Linked DNA regions of Schizosaccharomyces pombe. Changing the gene in region 3 together with the main gene of any one other region gives a genetic interaction. Each region holds a gene or a part of one and is shown on either strand. Other genes may lie near its edges.

Region 1 (7,673 bases), on a different chromosome or scaffold from region 3:
ACATGAAAATTCAGGAACATGGGACTCGGCTTTGAGTTGTTACGAAATTATTATTCAAAAGGATCCTGAAAATAAAAAGGCGAAAATCGGTTTGCTTAACAGCATGCTGCAATCGGGGCATTATGAATCTCTTGTTTTGAGTTTAGATTCTTTTATAATCAATGACAACCACGAGTATTCGAAGATGTTAAATTTGGGTATTGAAGCTTCATGGCGTTCGCTATCTATTGATTCGTTAAAAAAGTGTCTTTCAAAAAGCAACTTGGAATCTTTCGAAGCTAAATTGGGTAGCATATTTTACCAATACCTACGGAAGGATTCTTTTGCTGAATTGACGGAGCGGCTGCAACCCTTGTACGTTGATGCTGCTACAGCAATTGCAAACACAGGCGCCCATTCAGCCTATGATTGTTATGATATTTTATCTAAGCTGCACGCAATTAATGACTTTAGTAGGATTGCTGAAACTGACGGAATTGTTTCCGACAATCTTGATATTGTTCTTCGCCGTCGGCTTAGCCAAGTAGCTCCGTACGGTAAATTCAAGCACCAAATCCTGTCCACTCACTTAGTTGGCTATGAAAAATTTGAAAACACGAAGAAAACTGCTGAAATATATCTCGAGATTGCAAGAATATCTCGAAAAAATGGTCAATTTCAAAGAGCCTTCAATGCCATCCTCAAAGCAATGGATTTAGATAAACCGCTAGCAACAATAGAGCACGCACAATGGTGGTGGCATCAAGGGCAACATCGTAAAGCTATTTCTGAATTGAATTTTTCGCTTAATAACAACATGTTTGATTTGGTTGATGAGCATGAAGAAAGACCTAAAAATCGTAAAGAAACTTTAGGAAATCCACTTAAAGGAAAAGTGTTCTTGAAACTTACAAAATGGCTCGGAAAAGCTGGCCAACTGGGATTGAAGGATTTGGAGACGTATTATCATAAAGCGGTAGAGATTTACTCAGAATGTGAGAATACGCATTATTATCTTGGCCATCATCGAGTTTTAATGTATGAAGAAGAACAAAAGCTCCCAGTTAATGAACAGAGCGAACGATTTTTAAGTGGTGAGTTAGTAACTCGCATAATTAACGAATTTGGTCGATCTTTGTACTATGGTACAAATCATATATATGAAAGTATGCCAAAATTGCTCACACTGTGGCTTGATTTTGGGGCCGAAGAACTTCGCTTATCTAAAGATGACGGCGAAAAGTACTTTCGTGAACACATTATCTCTTCGAGAAAAAAATCTTTGGAACTTATGAATTCGAATGTTTGTCGCCTTTCTATGAAAATTCCTCAATACTTTTTTCTGGTTGCATTATCCCAAATGATATCCAGAGTATGCCATCCAAATAATAAAGTTTATAAAATTTTGGAACATATAATTGCAAACGTTGTAGCATCTTATCCTGGGGAGACGCTATGGCAATTAATGGCAACAATAAAATCGACTTCTCAAAAGCGCTCGCTTCGTGGAAAAAGCATTTTAAATGTTTTACATTCTAGGAAGCTTTCTATGTCTTCCAAAGTTGATATAAAAGCACTCAGTCAATCTGCAATTCTCATTACTGAAAAGTTAATCAATTTGTGCAATACAAGGATTAACAGTAAATCTGTAAAAATGAGCTTAAAGGATCATTTTCGGCTTTCTTTTGATGATCCGGTAGATTTAGTCATTCCTGCTAAATCATTTTTAGACATTACTTTACCAGCTAAAGATGCTAACAGAGCTAGTCATTATCCATTTCCAAAAACTCAGCCTACTCTGTTGAAATTTGAGGATGAGGTGGATATAATGAACTCTCTTCAAAAACCAAGAAAAGTGTACGTTAGAGGTACGGATGGCAACTTATACCCATTCTTGTGCAAACCCAAAGATGATCTTCGTAAGGATGCTAGATTGATGGAATTTAATAATCTTATTTGTAAAATATTGAGGAAAGATCAAGAAGCGAACAGAAGGAACTTGTGTATTAGAACTTATGTTGTTATTCCTTTAAATGAAGAATGCGGATTTATCGAATGGGTAAATCATACTCGTCCATTTAGAGAAATTTTGTTAAAAAGCTATAGACAGAAAAACATTCCCATATCATATCAAGAAATCAAAGTTGATTTAGACTTTGCACTGCGAAGTCCTAACCCTGGTGATATATTTGAAAAGAAAATCTTACCGAAATTTCCTCCAGTTTTTTATGAGTGGTTTGTTGAATCTTTCCCAGAACCAAATAATTGGGTTACTAGTAGACAAAACTATTGCCGAACTTTAGCAGTAATGTCAATAGTTGGCTACGTTTTGGGTTTGGGAGATCGCCATGGCGAAAACATATTGTTTGATGAATTTACAGGTGAAGCTATCCATGTCGATTTCAACTGTCTTTTTGATAAAGGTCTTACTTTTGAAAAACCTGAAAAGGTGCCGTTCAGATTAACTCATAATATGGTAGATGCAATGGGTCCGACAGGTTATGAAGGGGGTTTCAGGAAAGCTAGCGAAATAACGATGCGGCTTCTTCGCTCAAACCAAGATACATTGATGAGCGTACTAGAGTCTTTCCTACATGATCCTTTAGTCGAGTGGAATAGAAAGAAGTCGTCAAGCAAGTACCCGAATAATGAAGCAAATGAAGTTTTGGATATAATTCGCAAAAAATTTCAAGGCTTTATGCCAGGGGAGACGATACCTTTATCTATTGAAGGGCAAATTCAAGAATTGATCAAATCTGCTGTCAACCCAAAAAACCTGGTAGAAATGTACATTGGTTGGGCTGCTTATTTCTAGCATTTTACTAACAAAAATTTCAATGAACAAGCTACCCATTATTAAACTTATGATTTGAATCGAAGATATTTTATTTATTAATCCGATGAAGAATTCTCGCTGAGTTGTTCAATTTCTTGTAATTTTCCTTCCATTTCTAAATCGTCGATTCGCTTAAATAGGGCACTGGCTTTTTGTGCATTTTTCTCTCGTAAAGCAGCTTCTGATTGAAAAAAAGCTATATCTGTTTCTGAGTCATCATCCGAATCAACAATATATTTTGCAGATCGTAAATGGTTTTCCTTTTTCTTTCGAGTTGTATGGTCAATAATAGTTTCGTTAGTTTTCATCTTTTTACGTTTTCTGTCAGTAATCTTATTTAACGCTTCTCGACGATTGGCGAAAGTTATAGGATCATCTGCTTCAAATTCAATTTCTTCGTCAGATGTTTCACCCTCACTACTTGATGGTAAACGAACATTTCCTCTTTGCTTCCTCACTAATAAATCTTCGGGCTTGGTGCCTTCAAACGTCGGCGGATCATCAGTAAACCTTCTCAACAACATGGCATGCTCAACAAGTTCATCAATTATAACAGAATTTGGTAATTTCCATAGTGCTTGAACGTCTATATTGTTATCTGATTCTTCGAATCCACATAATTCTAATAATAGACGAAATTTTCCGTCTTTCAAAAGGGCCGTATTAAATGAATCTGTGTCTCCTTTCAAATTCTTCCCCATTCTTTCACCATCATTTCCACCTTCATTTATATATTTGTTCTCGTCAGCTAGCGTTATTAGCTTTCTTTCTGAAATGAGGCAATTAAGTTGAACTTTCAATTCATCTAATAAATCACTTTTGTTTTCATTTATAAGGCATGCAACAACGGCAGCCACCTTTTCCAAATGTGATAAGCCAGGCACCGTCTCGTATAACGGGCCTTTTCTCGAACCATGAATAGAGAAAAGTGGACTTTTTCCATATTCCAGATAATAAAATGTGTCGGTTAATTTTGGGAAAGGCAACTCAATAAAAAGTGCTGGTACATCTTTTAATGCATCTGAAAGCTTTCGCATATAATATACAAAAAATTGTTCAAAATCCTGTCTTGCTGAATTTGTAGTAGAAAAATAGACATGGTCATTAAACATTTTGTCCAGAACACGTAGGAAATCGAGACGATACAAATAAACATGGCATTTTTGCTTCACGAAAATGCGGTAAAAAAAGGAAATAGCCCTATGAATTTGTTTTGAATCCAGATCTTGGTAACATTGAAGGAACAGCACGAAACTATCAATACATCCATTATCACAGTACCTAGACTCATATCTGCCGAAATCAAACAGACGGTCCTCAACGGCTGCATTAGCATTAATCAAGCTGCTTTCTTCATCTTCATCCGATTCCAAGACATTGCTATCAACAGATTTCTGATTTCTCCTTCTCTTTTTCACATAGAGATATTGTTTAGCACTGCTAAATTTCTCAAGCTCCTTTAATAGCACTATAGTTAGCTCAGTTATTGCATCTAAATACCCAAAGGACTGAGTTTTAAAATGCTTTAAAGCGCTATAAACAAGTAAAAGAATTTCCTCTTGGTAAAAGATATTGCTTAGTAGATTATCGGCAATTCTTTGGTAAATTTCTGAGGAACAAAGTGTCATACTTCGAAGAGTGAAAAGTAATTGAGTCATCGAAAGCATGGATGCTTGGAAGGTGCTCCATTGTTTCATTTCAAAGGATTCTACCATTAACCTGTTGTGCATAATCAAAGCTCGTTGGTCAAAAACGGAGGCTGCTAAGCCAAAACTATAATCATTAGAGTAAATTTCTTCTGTTTTTTTTGGTTTAGACGAAAATCTCATGAATTCCAAAAAAAATGACTGAACGTATAATAATTGCATTTTATGAATTGGAAGCACACGAGGATCTTCTCTTTCCAAGTCTTTTAAGAGAGACTGAAATAATGGATTGAATCCAGCTTCCAAAAATTCGACAGCAAAGTTCCTTAATGCAGTACCTGCCTCGGTATTGATAAAGAACGATTTGTTTATGTCATCCTAATATTGTTAGAATAGAATAGTTGAATTGGAAAAAAAAATTTAAACAAACATCGTGTTTAACTAAGTACATACAAAATGTTTTCGACGTGTTCCTCGTTTTCGAAAACGCTTATGAGAGTCAAGCTCATCAAGGCCGTCGGTTTTTATATTTTGGCTAGCAATAGTAAATCTTCTGTCTTCAGTTTGAACAGAAAGCATGGTTCCAAATCTATTATGCCTCGTATGTGCATTTCGTTTCAAATAGCGATTTTGGGTCGACTCTTTGAGGAGTAAGCTATTAAGTTCGGTTTGAGAGTTAGTCAATGAGGCATCAGAGAAAAGGGCTGATGGCTTACAACCTCTGATCAAGTTGTAGACTATTTCTAATATGTAAACATCAAAATGCTCAAATTCATCGAGATTCGAGACCAGTGTGACAATCAAATCTAATATATGAGCTTTCGCAAACGAGATAATTGTTTCATTTTTTGTTTTTAATTCATCGATTTGAAGAATGTTTCGAAATAGTAACAGCACTATCCTGATTATTCCCTTGTCTCTAAGTGTTCTGGATTCTGCGGGAGTACTTAAGGGCTTTAGTAAAACAGCTAAAATGGCGGATAAAACGCTCCCCTTCTTGTAAGATAAAATTGAATTTTTATAATTTGATTGAGCTTGACGCAGATTATAGAGAACATCAACATTTTCTCTGAATGTTTCATGCTCAGTCTCCAAAGGCCATGTTAATGGTACAAGAAGCTCAACACAAGCTAAAGCGATACGCCAGTTTCTGTAATTAGTAATGTCTTTATCCCAGTCAGAGAGTATTGGACATATATCATTAGTTACCAACTGTAAGCTCGAGAGCAAAGATCGAATTTGCCAAACTTTGTACTTTTCATCGACTACTTGAAGATAGCGCTTCAGATCCTTTAGGCAAGCCAAAGCTTCATCACCAAGAACGTACACTTTTTCATCGTCTGAATAGTCAAATCCTCCAATGGCAGAAACAATGCCTTGAATCACCTCATCTAATTCCATTCAAGTTGATTTGTTAAATCAAAAGCTCTCAAGTTCCTTTTTTTTGTATTGTCGGTATGCGTCGATAAATAAACCAAATTTAAGAAATTAAATAAATTTTAATAATTAAGCGATATTAATTATGTTCATGAATAATCGTATTCTTTTAAGATAAGTAAATTTGATTGTAGATACGTGAAGAGGGGTGGTGACAGTAAACAATGAATAATAAATTTTTAAAACAATATTTAACTTTTCAAAATAACTTGGATTTTTAAAAAAATGTGTGTAAAGTAAAACACTTTATAATTTAAATCGCATTAAAATGGCATTCAGTATTATATTATAAAATTCGATAATATGGACTCAACAAAACGAATTTGCTACCTAACTTGTACAATGCATAATTAGAATTTAGTTTCAATAATTTTCACAATTTCAGATGTAGAAATTTAGAGTTTATTATTTTCAGAATGATTAAGCAGCAAATCTTTAATAACAATATAAAGAGATGCATTCTCTACTACAAAATTCTAAAAATTCTGCGTCAAATTCAACATTTCCTCTATTTTGTAAAATTGTAAAACAACGTAATAAATTGTTACAGGACTCATTCATAAAGACTATTTACACTTTATTTAATATAGAATATATATATGATGCGGCAGAAAAGCAATTTGAACGTTTGGGACTGTCACCTACCAGAAACTACACCAGCCAATATAGCACAAGCATAGGTTCTCTATAGAGGTTGCTTGTAAAATCAGCTTCTCTACTTGACTTGGTACATCCAATTGCTGTTGGGGTTTGAAATCCCGACCAGTAAGTTTATTGGACACACGATTAAGAACGGTTATAGCTCTTTGATTGAGTATCTCGGGTTTTTGACGTTCTTCAAGTGTAATTCCTTCTTCGTTTAAGCGTTTCCGGTGTAAACCATCAATTGTCTCACCGAGAAGTGTATTAGGTTCGTTAGATTGCTTTTCATCGATAGAAGGTGAATATGCAGGAGCAAGGCGCCAGTTAATAAGAGGATCGTAAACGAAAGCTTCTAAAACTGCCATCACAGACTCCTTATTAGTACGAAGAACTCGCATAACATGTTCGCATGTTATCCGGAACGTCCCCTCTATACCACTAACTTCCATTGCGTTAACAAGCATTCGCGTAAGGCGGAAAGGAATCTTCTCGGGAAACTTTTCTCGATGCATTGCTACTTCAAAACAATCTCCAAAATCGATATGGATGATATTACCTGTATACCTGTCCAGCATCAAATTGGAAGGATGACGATCGCCCAAACCTAAGATGTACCCTACCATTGACATCACCGCAAGAGTACGAGAATAGTTAGTTCGCCTATTAAGCCAAGCTTCTGAGCTACGACTCTTCAGCCATAAAACGCGGTATAAATCCTGCCCCGTAGTACTAAGTAGGGCATATTCAAAGACTTCAACTTTCTGAAGGAGAGTGAGACGATCGTAATCTGGAGCCATCTGAATGATCAACCTATGTTCTATGTTGAGTAAAATCTTTCTGCTTTCTCTGTAGTCACGAATTAAGACATGCAAAGTATCGCTATCCAAAACCCAGCCTAAAAGGCCTGAATCCGGTGATAAAGGAATCACTGGATACCTTTGGATTGAAAGTAAGCGCTTAAAAGTTTCCGGGTCAGCTAGTAACAGATTGTTACAAAGCCCAAATAGCTGCATAACACGTTCATCTTGTCTGATGTCCTCGTGACCCTTTAAAACATATTGATAATCTTTTCCATCACTGCCTTTAATACTCAGTCGTCTCGGACGTTGCTTAGATGTTATCACGTTGAATGT
Region 2 (4,833 bases), on a different chromosome or scaffold from region 3:
ATCCCGAAGACGCAATGACACCAAAAAATTCGGTTGGTTCGTACCGCGTATAGCTTTTGACCATTGCGTCTACCCAGACCTAGATTAAAAAAAAGGCGTTGGTTGATGCTAAGTATATACACTCCTCTAATATTCAACAATTTGGAAAAGAAATAGCGATATACATTGTTATCGTTTTTTTATTTTAGCATTCCTTAATGCACTCCATAATACATTTTTGCATAGTTTATGGAATACTCATAATAATGTCGGTTGCGCAGTTTAATGAACTGCATTGAAAAGATTATTGATACACAATTAAGTTTTACCAGCTTTTCTGTTCTCTTTTCTTATTTGAAATACCGCTTGCGCTATTGAATGTGCTCATGAAAAAGGTCATAAATATTAATTAGACTAGCATCTTACAACATTGTGGTAGTGAGCCAATTTTTCCATGTAGACTTCAAAAATCATAGGTCTACTAAATTTAATTTTAAACTTGTTGGCAAGTTGCCAAAATAATTGCTGTTTGCGTATATTGACGTTAACACAATTCTCTTTTATTATTCTAGCAAGCCTGAAAAGCATTTGACAATCGATTAGGATACGATCAAAATTATCCTAATATTAGCCCATTAATCAATAATCTATAAACTATTTTCGAATTTCAGGACCAATTGGCAAAAAAATGCCACCCGCACATAAGAGAGATACCAACGTTAGAAACTTATCTGCACCATACAATATCCCATCTCAATCCGCTAGAGTCGCAGCTGGAAATGCAGCAATAAATAGGAGACGTTCTTCTCCAGTAGAGAATTCGCCAGGAAACGGATTTCCGGTTTCAGAAGATGCAACAGACTATCCTTCAGGCACTACCTCTGAGAATGAGTCTTTACCACTGAATCGTGCACCAAGGTCGCTAAGAGAGGTTGCTTCGGAGCTAGCACAAGAAGAAACACTACCTGTTGAAACCTCTGATTTAAACATAGATGTGGAAAGTGAAGTATTCGACTTGGAAGACATTAATTTTCAGAATGATGCTGATGACATAAATCAAAGATTCACCTACAACAATCATCCAGCTTCCGTTGAAAACAGTTTAACAAATGTTAATAGTATTCACGCGCAACCTACTACTATAAGCGATATGATTGATTTAACTGATGAGACTTCCTATGATCCAAGAAAACAAAAATTTGAACAGGGAAAGAACCCATCGACCACCAACGCCGAAATTGAAAAAGAAGAACCTAGCAAAAAACAGGTTGTTCCATCTTCACAACGACTAGCTGATTATAAGTGTGTAATTTGTCTGGATAGTCCGGAAAACCTATCTTGTACTCCCTGTGGGCATATATTTTGCAATTTTTGTATACTAAGTGCTTTAGGTACAACGGCTGCCACACAAAAATGTCCGGTGTGCAGAAGAAAAGTACATCCAAACAAAGTTATATGTTTGGAAATGATGCTCGGATCTCAAAAAAAGAAATCTTAACCGTACAAAATTCCGTATATACATATTAAGAATGTTAATGAAAGATGTGTGATGCACTGCTCAATGCTTTTTGCGGTTTATACACATCAAAATTGAGAATTGATTAAGAGCAAGTTATGCTAGTCATTACAAATTTTCAGTCCTTTGAATTTGCTCTCCAATCTGAGTCCCAGATAAAGAACCTGCATTGGAACGGTTGAGTATCTTCCTCAGAAACTGCATTTGAGTTTTTAATCAGTTCACCAACCGGTCTGGCACAAATCCAAAACTTCCGCCCGTAATTGATTCCCGGCTTCCTCACTGTCAAATACTTGCAAGGTTCCTTGTGACCCTCACAAAGTGGAGGAGCTCGTTCACTGAATATTTGCTTCCAGGCGTTCCCGTTTTCTACTTTTTTTTTTACTGTCAACCCTATGTCAGATTCATTATTGTTATCAAGGACCTCAATCGAAACGTCTTCTGTTTTATTGGTTTCTTCTTTCTCTTCCTTTTGCTTCGCAAAAAATGAAAGAAGCTTCGATTGTTCTTTTCGTCTTCTCTTTTCCGGTGGGTAGGCATCGACGTCTATGACAGAGTTTGCACGAGAAACAGTTGGTGAGGAGCCGCTGGACGCAGAAGCAGATACGTTTTCGCTCTGAGTGGGTGAGTTGTTTTTATTCTTTTTCATCGAATTGAAATGTTGGAACATTGAATGAATATTTTTTGATGGCCGATAGGCTGAATGATGCGCCGTTGATAGTAAAGGTGGTTCTTTTGAGTGACTTAGAAAGTTGGACAACTTTTTTCCTTCATATTCTTCTTTTAAATCTAAATATACGGGGCAATGATCTGAACCCATGACCTCAGCCATAATATCTGCATCTTGAACCCAAGGTAATAAATCGGGTGTTGCCAAAGTGTAATCAATTCTCGTACCTATCCATTGTAAAAAAAATAACAATTCAGAACTTACCATAATTTGTGGGCCTTGTATTAAGTCTTGTATTCCAACATGTAAACATTCCTTTCCGAGTAGGATGTTGAATACGGCCAATGTCCAACAGTAGTCCCAACCTGCTTGGTAGTAATAAATCACGTATCCATTGTCTTGATTCCATGATGCTTGGAATAAGACTCTCTCGAATAATGTCTTTTTGATCAGCAGTGTCAATAGGATTACACAAAATATTCACATCCCCAACGAGAATGATTTTTCGATTTCCTTCCTTTATCAATCTTTCAATTCTTTCTCGTAAGGCTTTATAAAAGGCCCGTCGATATTCTAGTCTATTTTCTCCAGAGTTTACTGGACAGTAAACACCGATTAGGATGAACATCTGAAAATCTAATAATATACACCTTCCTTCACTATCAATCCAATTAGCAGTTTTTCTGTCAATGTCTTTTGGGAAAAATCCTATCTTTTCATGCTCCGGTGCTTCTGAATATGAATATTTTTGTCCTCGTACTGGCAGGATGCCAGTAATTCCCTCTTCTGCTTTCACTGGAATAGCAACATCTTTTTTTACATAAAATCCAACCCCACTATAGCCTTTTCTGATCTTAGGAAATGTAAAATAACTGTCGAATCCCTCAACAACTGCATATTGTTGAGGAAAGCTGTCTTTCTGCATTTTCAATTCTTGAACACATATTACATCAGCCTGTAACTCTTGAAATATCTCTTTGTAGGAATTTTTTTTATTCCATGGAAAATAATTGAATGGATTCTGTATACCGTTCACATTCCAACTTAGAATTCGCATTCTTATAATTTTTACGTAGAGAAAGTGTGCGAAGGTAAAGGCGACAGACTTTTGAATTTACAATTGTTGACATAAGTTAATCTGATGGAAAATAAAATGCATTTGTTTAATTCGAGAATGAACTTTTTCTTTTCTTTTCGACCTTCTCCCTATTGAATGTTGATTTTCAAAAAAATTCTAGATTGACTAATATTGAGTTACAACTGTAAACAATCTAATGATTCTTTCTAAATATATGTCATTAAACGAGTATACATGTTGTGCTAGAAAGACATTATCTCAAACTGCTGTTTAAAAAAGCTATGTTTGGATACAAGGATGTAAATTGGGGTATTAACAGGTATCCAAAAAATCCATTAAAAAATAAAGAAGGTTTAGTTTTTCGTGTAAAAAAATATGATTAGCTCTCCATGTAAGTTAGGACTATTGACAATCTTCATATACATTTAACCAACAGTAATTACGAAGAATCATTAAGTTGAAGAGATTCTTCTGAGTCGGATTCAGAGCTATCTTCAATTGGGTTTCCCGTAGCATCTGTAAGATGAATGGTTTCTATTTGAGGAGATTCTGCGTTTGCGTCTAATGTATCATTCACTTCTTCGAGGTCCTCCACATCATCAATATTTTGCTCAACTTCATTTTGTGCTATATCCTCCGCAATTCGTTCTTCTTCTAATTCGTCTTTTTCTTCATCTAGAGGAGTAGTGTCATGCGCGTCTATTTTGGCTTTCTTTCTGTTATCAACATCTGATACGTTAGGGAGTTTCAATCGTTTTTCTTTCAAGGCAAGCTCATATGCTTTAATAGTTAGAAGAAGTACAGAGTAAGAAACATACCTTCGAGATGTTTTTTTAACGTTTTAGAGAATTCTGGATACTCAATTTCATCGAGCGCATTCAAAACGTCTTGAGGCATAAGAATTTTTCTGTTATTATTCGTAGCAATTTCCCCAGAACTAAGTAACGTTAGTCTTTATTCATTCATATACAAAGTGTTTCCAGAAGAAAATAAAATTGGCAATTATATAATAAATTCTTTCATCATACAAGCCCTTCAATATGGTTATATAGTTATATAGATTACATACGCGGATGTTAGAAAACTAACAAAAAGAGTTGCTGAATTGATCATAGCCTTGAGAGCTTCTTTTTGTACAAGACTCTTTTCAGGTAAGACACCTTTGACTAATCGCATAATGATCGATCGAGGAAGCGCCAGATCATCCAATTCGGAAGTTTCTTTCGATTTATCTTGATTCATATTGATTTTCCAGCCGCTAGATCTTTTACAAACGCTGTATACAAGTCTTTTATAAATCCAATCCAAATATCATCCTATGGTCACCAAACGATAATCACAGAGAAAGGCGGTTGCTTCTTTTTAGCTAATTAATGTATAATAAATTCACTGAGTCGCCTATTTCTGTCAATTTTCACTAAACACTATCTGTGCGTTATGAGCAGAATCCGAGAGAGCCTTAGAGTTGAAACATTTGTAGAAATGCTATCAAATTTCTTAAAACTAAATAGTTGTACTGTTTTGTTTATATTAAATGAGTAAAAAAAAAAGTTTTTTAGCGTTGTTAGAAATAAATAAAGCTTTTTGATA
Region 3 (6,133 bases):
ACCAAATAAATTCATATAACCAAAAGTTCGAGCCCAAACTGGAAGAGTTCCAGGAGGTGCAAAGATGAAAAGAATAAATGAAATGATAAAAGGAGCCGAATAATGCATGACTCCATATGGAACCCAGGCCAAAATATCAAGGATGCTATGCGTGGTTTTCGAGAGAAGACTAGAAAGATTAGAGCCATAAAGAATATTTTCAAGTGTGGGTAAAACACGAACCCATATGGGTGGACGCCAGCGTTCTGGAATAAACCTACAAGAGTAAAATAAAATTGCCCAGGTGATGATAACAATGGCAGGAAAAAAAATTTGGCGTGTTAAAGGAACGGTCAACGCAATGGCCAAAAGACAGGCAATGCCAAATTTCCCCCAGAATCCAGGAGATTCAATGACAATACAAGCAAAAATCAAATTACCTGCTAGAAACACATATTGCAAATGTGTCCATGACCATTTCGTATTGCGTAGCAAACGAAATGTAGGCATAGGGTTTAAGCTTGTTTCCAACTTGTATTGGGATGCTCGGTTACACGCAGCAAGGCGCTTTTTTAAGGTCGAAAGAGCAGACATTGCTTCAAAGAATTATCAGAGTAAAAAAGGGAAGCGTACGAAAAAAATTTCGTAAGGAATTAACCGGAAAACTAAAGGAAAAAAAAGGAATTTTTATGAAGGAAAGAAAGTAGCTATTAAATGCAAGTGTCAAGCACTTAAAAGTAGCGATGTAAAATATTTAAAAAAAGATGGACCGATTAACCAATGTTCAGCTCACAGTTGCCAGCAATCAGGGCTATTTTTTTATTTTTTTTATAAAATTGCTAATTATATATAATATAATTAGTTTATTAACTTGCTTTTCCTCAAAAAACCAATTCGAGAAAGGAACTTTTGCAGAGGCAAAAAAGCTTCTCCGAAAGAGATACTAGTTTAAAAACCTTTGGTTGCAAATACAAACCAAAATACTCCAATTTAACTATACAATTGGAGTTAGTCGATTTCAATTGCCCCGTATAAATGGTTCTTTAGAGGTTGGTAGTGGCGAGCTGAGAATGGTACGGTCGGCTAGTATTTGTTTAGGTTTGGCAAGTGGTGTTACTGTAGCGCAACACAAGATAGCCTAGCGAAAACAACGTTATTTCGAAACTCTAGGTAATTGGAAGATATTCCTTCTCAGGTAACACTATTCGGCAACGGCAGCCAATAAAATATTTGAAAGCTAAGACTCGTTATTAAACAATAAGACACTAAGCTCCATATATAATTACCGTATCCAAGTTTACTGCACGGAAATGAGAAAGCGGAAAGTAAATCAGAAACAATTTTAGCGAAATAAAATATGAATTTCGATATAATAAGATAAAAACATTGCGGTTGAGGGTAGTATCAGATGAAGCAAATATATTATTGTAACTAAATACCTTAAGCGCATCTAGGACACGTACTTAAGCATGGGTCTATATATTCAATAACTTAGCAATGTTACGAAATATTTAGGAGGAATAGTTTTATGCACTCTTTAATACTTCAAATTTTACTTCCGTCTATATCTGTTGAATTAAGCATTCAAAATGACAATTGACAACATTAAAACAATGTAAATCTATTTGGAAGTACTAATTTTTGTTTTCGATTTCTTAATTAGGAAAACAAAAAGTGCCTACTTGCATTTTCACAGCCTTTTTCTTTGGATTCTGAATGTATACATTAGCACCCTGTTGATAATTCTTTCACGTAGGTAAAAAAGACATCATTAAGCTATTGATTTTAAATGGCCGTAGAAAATTCAAACTGTCGTAGGTCAGACAACACTTCTCTAAAGATGAAACCAAATCGTATATTTGTTAACTAGAAATCAAAATCATATATCGCATATTAATTGTTATCTTAATTTTTGTGTTCCTTAGGTTCTCGAAATTCCAACGATGGATATTCTTACATACATTCAACACAACCCAACATATTAACTCGAACAAGCCATGGTTGGTTGTCAATAATCCTTTCACATTTGGAGGAACTCGTAAGGATCTATCTTCTAAATAAGGGCGTTATATATATTTAAACCTGTACATATCTATTTTCATTGATTTTAATGTTTTTTCCGTATTTGCTAATTTCTTTGATGCATACGATTAACTAATAGCTTTTTCTATTCTATCAAAATTTGACTCTAATCAAATTAAATTGGTTCCAAGCGTTTAACTTTGTGAATTCATGGCAGAAATTATTCATCATTCAAACGTATTCACCTGGGCTTTTCATGTTTCCGAATATGATGGTGCTCCTCTCCTTTTACTTGGATCTTTTTCCTCTGTAGCTTCTGTGAGTTTAAAGCGATCTGGTGATTTACTACTTTTTGAAAGATTCACGTTGCCTGCAAGAACGAGGTCTGTTGCTTTGTTATCAAGCCATTTCCTTCAGTCAGAATCAGGTAGACATTCAATAGCGAATATTTTAATTGCTACTGAAAACGGAAAATGCTACTTGTTGCAGCTCGTCAAAACACCAGAAAAAGCGTTTCCGACGATTCGTATTAGAGATGAATTCGTTCTTGATACTCGAATGTACAACCATGAACAATTAGGAAAATCAATTGATTTATGCCCAAATGCTTCCTTGTGGGCTACTAATTCTTTTGCTGGTGATATTGTATTTTTCTTTTCACATCATCCTTCCTTAAGCAAGCAAGTCTTCGCTCAACTTTCTATCGATGGAATAATACTTCATACCATATTTGTACCTCCAAAAAGATCCTCTTCGTCTTGTGTTACGTATGTTTGTCTTTTTCTAGATTCAAATTCGAATCCTAGAATCAATGTTTATAGGTGGTCTAAGACGGAAACCTTTTCTGATGCTAGTTCTTACATAACCTTCTCAATACCGGTTCCATCCGAATTTTCTCTTGCTTCCCATATTATCCCTTGCTCCAATATTCCTGATCATTTTTTAGTATTATTGGAGACAAAGATTTGTCTGCTTTCTGTCCCACAGATAGAATGTGGGGATCTAAAATTTTTACAGACCGATCTTCCATGCAGCGGTTCACATAATTATCCATTGTCTATTGCAAATGATAACGAAACTCCGAATTGTTGCTATTTAACCTACGAAAATGGAGATTTGTATCGCATTCGTTACTCTATTTTGTCTATTGATATTAATTTAATTGGAAAGACTGGATCTTCTTTAGGAAATTTGATACTACCTTGTTATCCATACATTGTTTTTTGTGGTGACTGTTCTGATACATTAGTGTATGATGTTTCGGTATCGCCTATGTCCTTTTTTGGTAGCTTAATTGCTTGCGCTCCAATGTGGGATTTTGTGTATTCCTCATCAAGGCATAACACTTTGTTGGATGAAGACATCAATTGTAATACAGTTTATGCTACTGCTGGCATTGGTAAATCTGGGTGTTTGGTCACAATGCGTTACGGGTGCTCATCCACTACTTTGCTTGAAGCAATATTAACTGAGGGAGCTGTTTTATCAGGAATTATAAATTCTAACCACAACTCTGAATTTTACGCTTGGCTAACTTATCCTTGGCAAACACAAATTTTAAGGCTTCATCTCGATGGGGTCGTCGAAGATGTTACCGAAAGTCTTTTTTTGGATGATATAAAAGCTTTATATGTTATAAATTACCAAAATACGTTTATCATTATTACGGGAAAATCCATTTATGCTGTTACTCCTAGTTGTACAAAGTATAACCTTCTTGAGGTTTCAGGAGATGAAGAATTTGTTTTGGCTGCTTATAACGAATTAATTTTCATCGTTAAAAAAGATTTAATGAATTTCAAAAGTCAATTGCTTACACTAAAACTAAATACTCTTTCTAATGGTACACTTGAACTTCAGTCGCTTCCGGATTCCTTCGATCTACACGATGTCCCTACTTGTATTACTTCCTTTTCTTTGGAAAGAAAGCTACTGGTGATACTGGTTCATCCTTCACCTTATTTTGAATGCGTTTTCTATGATGAAACCTCACACTCTAGTGTCTATAAAGTCCCCTTAACAGGTTTTCAATTTGGATACCTTCCTCATAGCATATCGTATTTGAGAAAATCAAACCGCGCTGTTTATGTATTGATTTCATCCAACTCTACTCTTTTAACCGTCTATGTAACTCTAACGTTAGAGGGAGTACCGGATTTTAAAGTTTACTCTAATCCTATTTCAACAGACTTACCACTCACGTTACAGTCACCCTCCGATGAGTTTTCAACAATTTATGCATGGTCTGACTATTTGTATATAGTGGGTATCGATATGGAAACTGAACAACCTACGCTGAACCAGATACTTGAAGTAAATGACAGTTTTACTTGTGTTTCTGGTATTTACGATATTCCAAATAAGTTCCAGAACAGTGAATCAAGAATCATAGTGTATTATTCGAATAATACTTTGTACCTATCGGAACTTTGGCTTCCACAGCGAACCTTTTCTTCAAAACTAAATCTTGCAGCAACTCCCAAGAGATTACTTGTTGATAAATATACGAACACTTTAATCATTGGATGTTGTCACGTTTTAGTAAATGAAATTACAACCTCAGGTCTTGCTTTTTACGACTTGACTAAGTGAGTTACGTGTTTCTAGTGCCTACTAACAATTACACAGCTCGCGACTTTTCCCTGTCAATTGGCCTTCAATGGATATTAAAGGTAAACCAATATTCAAACCGGAGGAATTATTATATTCTATGTCTTGTAAGTTAGCTTTACTTTAATCACCTAACGATTATTTAGTTTGGATTGTAGCCGACGATCAAAAAAGAAAATATAGGTACCTTTGTATAGGAACAGGGGTACGAAAAAACGGATTAACTACAGGTCGTTTGTTAATTCTTACCATGAATAAAGATCATGACAGCAATGCTATAGAACTTCGCAATGTCATCACAATTAATATGAAAGACCCTATTTATTCCGTTTGTTCGATCGGAAAACATGGATTGTGTTATGCAACAGGACGAAAGATTGGTGTAAAGATGTTGGACTTAGACTCAAAGAAGTTTTGCAACAGTGATTGTGAGTTACCTGTTCGGTCTCCCATTGTATCGATGTCAACGTATAAGGACTATGTGTACACTTCTAGTTTAAGAGATTCTGTTGCCGTGTTCCAGTATGATAGTGAAAACAACTCCCTTAATTTAGTTTGCAGCGACACATCATCGAGACTAGGCATTGATTGCTTTTACATTTCACAAAAAAAATTATTGTTTTCTTGTGACAAAGACCGGTTATTAACTTGTTTCAAAGTTGAGGGTGAAGTTTGCACGTCTACCAGAGAACAAATGCTCCAGCCAATTCTTACTACAGTGTCTCAAACAAAAACAAATGCCTTAACTAACCATTTAAAGTATTCAGTTATTCGGGTGGATAAAGATAATCATAATATTGTTTGGGGATTGATGGGTTGTACTTTAGATGGGAATATCTTCAAGATCTTAATGCCTAACGATCCGACTTCGTCGGATACAATTATCTATTCTGATACTTAATGTTATCACACATTAGAAATTCCAATTTACAACAATAAATTTATCAGAGCAATACTAATGAACAATTTTTGGATGGTTTTAAATGACGTAGATAAGCAAAGAGTATAATATTAAATTAATTTAATATAAACTTGGAACGCATGAATGTTAATTTTCATTAAAAAAGAGTTATATAAGTCAATAAATCTTTACATGTCAGCAGTAAAAAGTTGGCTAGCTATCGACAACTTTCTGACAGCAGTGTTTCATTCACAATCTTCGTGTTCCCATATAACCCGCCTAAAGATTGCTGGACAAAAATAATTCTTTGAGAGTCATAAAGGTAATGGTGTCCTGCAGAAGTGCAAATAATTTGTAACTGTAATCCAAACTTTAAATGACTTAAAATTTTCCCACTTTTATCGTCTAGTTGCTGAAGATAATGTTTCTGGCGAATCCAGGTTTTAGAGCAATCAACCATACTTGAAACATTATAAGGCACCAAAAAAACTTTAATGACTAAACCGTTAGTTTGTCGAAGTATTAGTTGTAATTGCCCAACTGATGGAATTCTATATCCGAATGGATAGCCTTTATTCATGACTTTGTCGCTTTTTTGACTTCTCAGTCGAAATCGACCGA
Region 4 (3,374 bases), on a different chromosome or scaffold from region 3:
AAAGTGCATACCTGTCGACAGAATTGGGATAAAGAAATGAAGTAAGATGGATCAATTTAGAAAAAGTTGAAGGTGCTGATGACTTTAAACGTTCAAGTAATTGCTCACAGAGTTGTGTCTAGTATTAAAGTATTAGAATTAAGAAAAAAATATTTTAATAAAATACCTTTCCAGAAAAAGGACCCCCAGCAATCCCAATGATTGCACTTTTCACACTATCTCCTGCCATAGTATATTCAACGCTAAAAATTTCAAATATAGCCAAATAGTAAAATATATAAATTATTACGAAAAGTTGGCAGTATAGAGAGTAAGGAATTCTATCTTCTTTAAGTAACTTTTACGCCTTGCTGCTACTGGTGGTAGCGTTGGTAGTATTTGGGCGAACTGTCCCTCCGAGGCTCTTACGCGGTTAGCCATATAAGTATACAATTATCAGTTAGAATAAATTCTCAGAATTAAGCTAATTTACATATCAATGTATTATATCATGTACTAGACTTAAATCAACAAGCTACAGCAGATGATTACGAAGTTATCTGTGAAAAATCATCACTAAGAACACAAGTTTTTCTACCCTTCAGTTTGTTGGTTCTAAAGAATTTGATTTTTTTTAAGTAAAAGCTGGTATTTTGCCTGTTTGGATATGAATGTTAGGGAAGGAGCAGTACAAAAAAGGTTGAATTAAAAAGTAAACAAAAGTATGTTTATAATGATGCTAGCTCGTCAATTGCAAAGAGATTACTAAAAGATATTGATTCCGTAATCTACTCCTCATCCTCCTCACCAATTTTTGGGGCAAGATAAAATCGTAAAAATCCGGATTCCATTTTATACTCCACAAGAAGTGGAACATCATTGCTCATTGAAAGTGTGACTCGGGTAGCTAAAGGAGTAGCCTTAGTGAACTGGGCTAAATATTTCAAAGAAAACGTAAGTGTTACAGCTTGGGTAAGAGAAATTTCGATACTTTGATCTTGGTCAGAAAGATCGGTATGTTGTTTCAGCGTGGTACTACCATTACCAATATCTCCCTTGCAGCTAAAACGAACACCCTCTTTACTAGCATTGATTGTTACTGAATCACTCAAAGTTAATAAATCTCGAGTAATGCGTTGAAATTCGGCAGCAGGCATAGTAATAGTAGCATCGTATTCGATATCTGGTATACCCAAGTGTTCTTGATCAATGTCCATTAATTTAACATCATAATCAGAGATCCTGTCATTTTTCTCGCTCTCGAAAACCAAATTCAATACCTCAGGTGTATCTTCAGCCTTTAAAGTAACCAAATCCTCGTTTTGGGCACACCGTAAGACCTTTGATAAGGCGTTCAGATTTATACCTAAAGCAATATTTCTATCACACCGATATGGTTCAAATCCATCTGATTTAATAAGCATAGAAACAAGGGCTACATGAGAACTATCCATAGCCTGCAGAGAGATACCGTTGTCATTGCAATCAAACTGTTATGAGGTTAGAGAATCATTCAAAAGAAGTTAATAAATATATTTTTTTTAAAAAAAAGAAAGGCTTTGTCGTTGAGCATCTTTATTTATATGCTGCCCCTTACATACATTAGCATCTGTAACTAACTCCTTGATGGCATCGAGAAGCTTTTTCAACAAAGCAGCCTGCTGAAATCTAGCTTCAAGCATAGTCGTAATTATATTTTATACAAGCTAGATAAGAGATATAAAGAATAGCTAACAAAGGTTACTGCAAAAACCTTTTGTAGTTGGCTTTTGGGAAGTAGTCAAAGAGCGCGTAGCACAGAATAGTGTGCGTAAAATTGCTAGCTGACAACGTAAAAAATCTCAAGAACCTTTCATATATGAGACCAAAATAGCAGTTCACGTTATTATAATTTGTTTTGTTATTTTTTTTATTTTTACAATAGCAAGTAATTTCGTCCGTACTTTTTAGATGCGTTTGATATGAAATATTATACAAAATTATGGAAAACTAACTGAAAAAATAGTATTTGCATGTTACTATGAAATTTTTATCTTTCGTTTGCTGTACTAATTCACGGTTCTATTTATGTCTTTTTAAAGAAGCAATATTCAGTTATCGAAATTTTCTAGCTATACGGATTATAATAAGCCAAATGTAATCAGCGAGTCATTACAATTTACGGCGTAAACTAGGAGAGCTTTCGCGTTCTACCTTAATATACTTTCCAGGATCAAATAAAATTTAGGCTACACTAATGTATCAAGTAAATTGTACATTTTCCATATTAGCTGCTACCGAAATTTATTAACTTATTTTCACGTTGCAATGACATATAAAATGATTGAAAAAAACGTTATTTTAATTGGTATTAACACGGAAAACTTAAAACGAATTTTATTGCTGGTTTAAATAAGACTAAAGAGGTATGAAAATAAGAATGAAGTATACTTGTTCGCTAAGGAAAAAATATGTATTCACAACAAATTCATTCGTTTTTTTTTCTTCTCAATATTCGTAGATTACAGTTACGTTAACAAGAATTCACTGTTGGTTTGTTTAGTTTATAAACCACTATGGTCAAGTAACTAAAGTTCGTTAAATGTCATTACGACGAATAATCGCTACCGTATAGAATAAGTAATGTAAGAGCTCTATCTTAGAAATAGCTTGGAAATATGACTAGAATCTCTGTAATAGAAGAACTATGTATCAAAAAATTATTTATTCAGTCATTGATGAATTCTAACGGTATTTAGCAAGATGCAATTGAGAATAAGTTGAGGTTAGTATCCGTCTTTACGTTGTTCCATACACTACGTAATACGCAGATCATTTCCGGGTTTCGAGTATTCCATGTTTAAAGACAATTCAAAGACTTTTAAGGTAACTGCATTTTTAATTTACACCGGTTTTTTTTTAAGCTATTTTTCTCTTATTTTTTTAAATCTTCTAGTCATGTCTTTGGGATTTACCCTACTTTATCCCTTTCTTTTTCTAGAGTGTAGGAGTAGGTTCGAGTAACAATGTAACTGGCATCTTCTGGTATGTTCCTTTCCTTCCCATAGTAACATCATCGTGTATATATATGCACAGCTTCTCTACCTGCGGCATCCTCAACCATCAATCTATAACCGAAGAATTTATTATAATAACGATATTAAGTTCTTATTAAATCGAACTGAAAACCGTATATATTTACCGTTCAACGACTCTCTCTTTTTTGTTTTATAACGAGCGACAAATATACAATTCCTTTTTTTTGGATTTATCTATAAATTATAAAAATTCCTATAATAATATAACTCGATATGGCTGATTATCCTTTTACTGACAAAGCCGCAAAGACATTGTCTGATGCGTACTCAATTGCACAATCTTATGGTCATTCACAATTAACCCCTATTCACATTGCT

What was found.
Region 1: of mms1 (region 3) and swi1, a mutation in one rescues a mutant of the other (synthetic rescue), as found in Schizosaccharomyces pombe (one study listed by BioGRID).
Region 2: mutations in mms1 (region 3) and apn2 are lethal when combined (synthetic lethality), as found in Schizosaccharomyces pombe (2 studies listed by BioGRID, with this or other methods).
Region 4: mutations in mms1 (region 3) and pcn1 impair growth when combined (synthetic growth defect), as found in Schizosaccharomyces pombe (one study listed by BioGRID).

Annotation. Positions count from the first base shown.
Region 1 is NC_003423.3:908,732-916,404, forward strand, and holds the start of swi1 (replication fork protection complex subunit Swi1), read right to left. Parts: upstream 6,049-7,673; 5' UTR 5,863-6,048; coding exon 4,915-5,862; intron 4,899-4,914; exon of another isoform or gene 4,840-4,898; coding exon 2,872-4,839; 3' UTR 2,795-2,871; coding exon of another isoform or gene 1-2,794. Other genes in the region: ATR checkpoint kinase Rad3, read left to right, coding at 1-2,794; TORC1 serine/threonine protein kinase Tor2, read right to left, coding at 6,540-7,673. UniProt on the Schizosaccharomyces pombe protein: Forms a fork protection complex (FPC) with swi3. FPC coordinates leading and lagging strand synthesis and moves with the replication fork. It is required for programmed fork-pausing which is necessary for mating-type switching.
Region 2 is NC_003423.3:1,285,795-1,290,627, reverse strand, and holds apn2 (AP-endonuclease Apn2), read right to left. Parts: upstream 3,240-4,833; 5' UTR 3,223-3,239; coding exon 2,430-3,222; exon of another isoform or gene 2,393-2,429; coding exon 1,614-2,392; 3' UTR 1,478-1,613; coding exon of another isoform or gene 668-1,477; 3' UTR 534-667; downstream 1-533. Other genes in the region: U3 snoRNA associated protein Dip2, read right to left, coding at 1-64; SUMO-targeted ubiquitin-protein ligase E3 Slx8, read left to right, coding at 668-1,477; DNA polymerase epsilon subunit Dpb4, read right to left, coding at 3,683-4,023, 4,062-4,180, 4,313-4,485. UniProt on the Schizosaccharomyces pombe protein: DNA repair enzyme that cleaves apurinic/apyrimidinic (AP) sites and removes 3'-blocking groups present at single strand breaks of damaged DNA. Provides the majority of the AP-endonuclease (APE) activity. Repairs phleomycin D1-induced DNA damage.
Region 3 is NC_003424.3:593,356-599,488, reverse strand, and holds mms1 (E3 ubiquitin ligase complex subunit Mms1), read left to right. Parts: upstream 1-1,962; 5' UTR 1,963-2,211; coding exon 2,212-4,589; exon of another isoform or gene 4,590-4,629; coding exon 4,630-4,718; exon of another isoform or gene 4,719-4,757; coding exon 4,758-5,512; 3' UTR 5,513-5,588; downstream 5,589-6,133. Other genes in the region: inositol phosphorylceramide synthase Aur1, read right to left, coding at 1-573; SPOM_SPAC3H8.04 (chromosome segregation protein), read right to left, coding at 5,730-6,133.
Region 4 is NC_003423.3:3,614,972-3,618,345, reverse strand, and holds pcn1 (DNA polymerase delta processivity factor), read right to left. Parts: upstream 1,752-3,374; 5' UTR 1,662-1,751; coding exon 1,581-1,661; intron 1,472-1,580; exon of another isoform or gene 1,470-1,471; coding exon 768-1,469; 3' UTR 501-767; downstream 1-500. Other genes in the region: heat shock protein Hsp104, read left to right, coding at 3,270-3,374.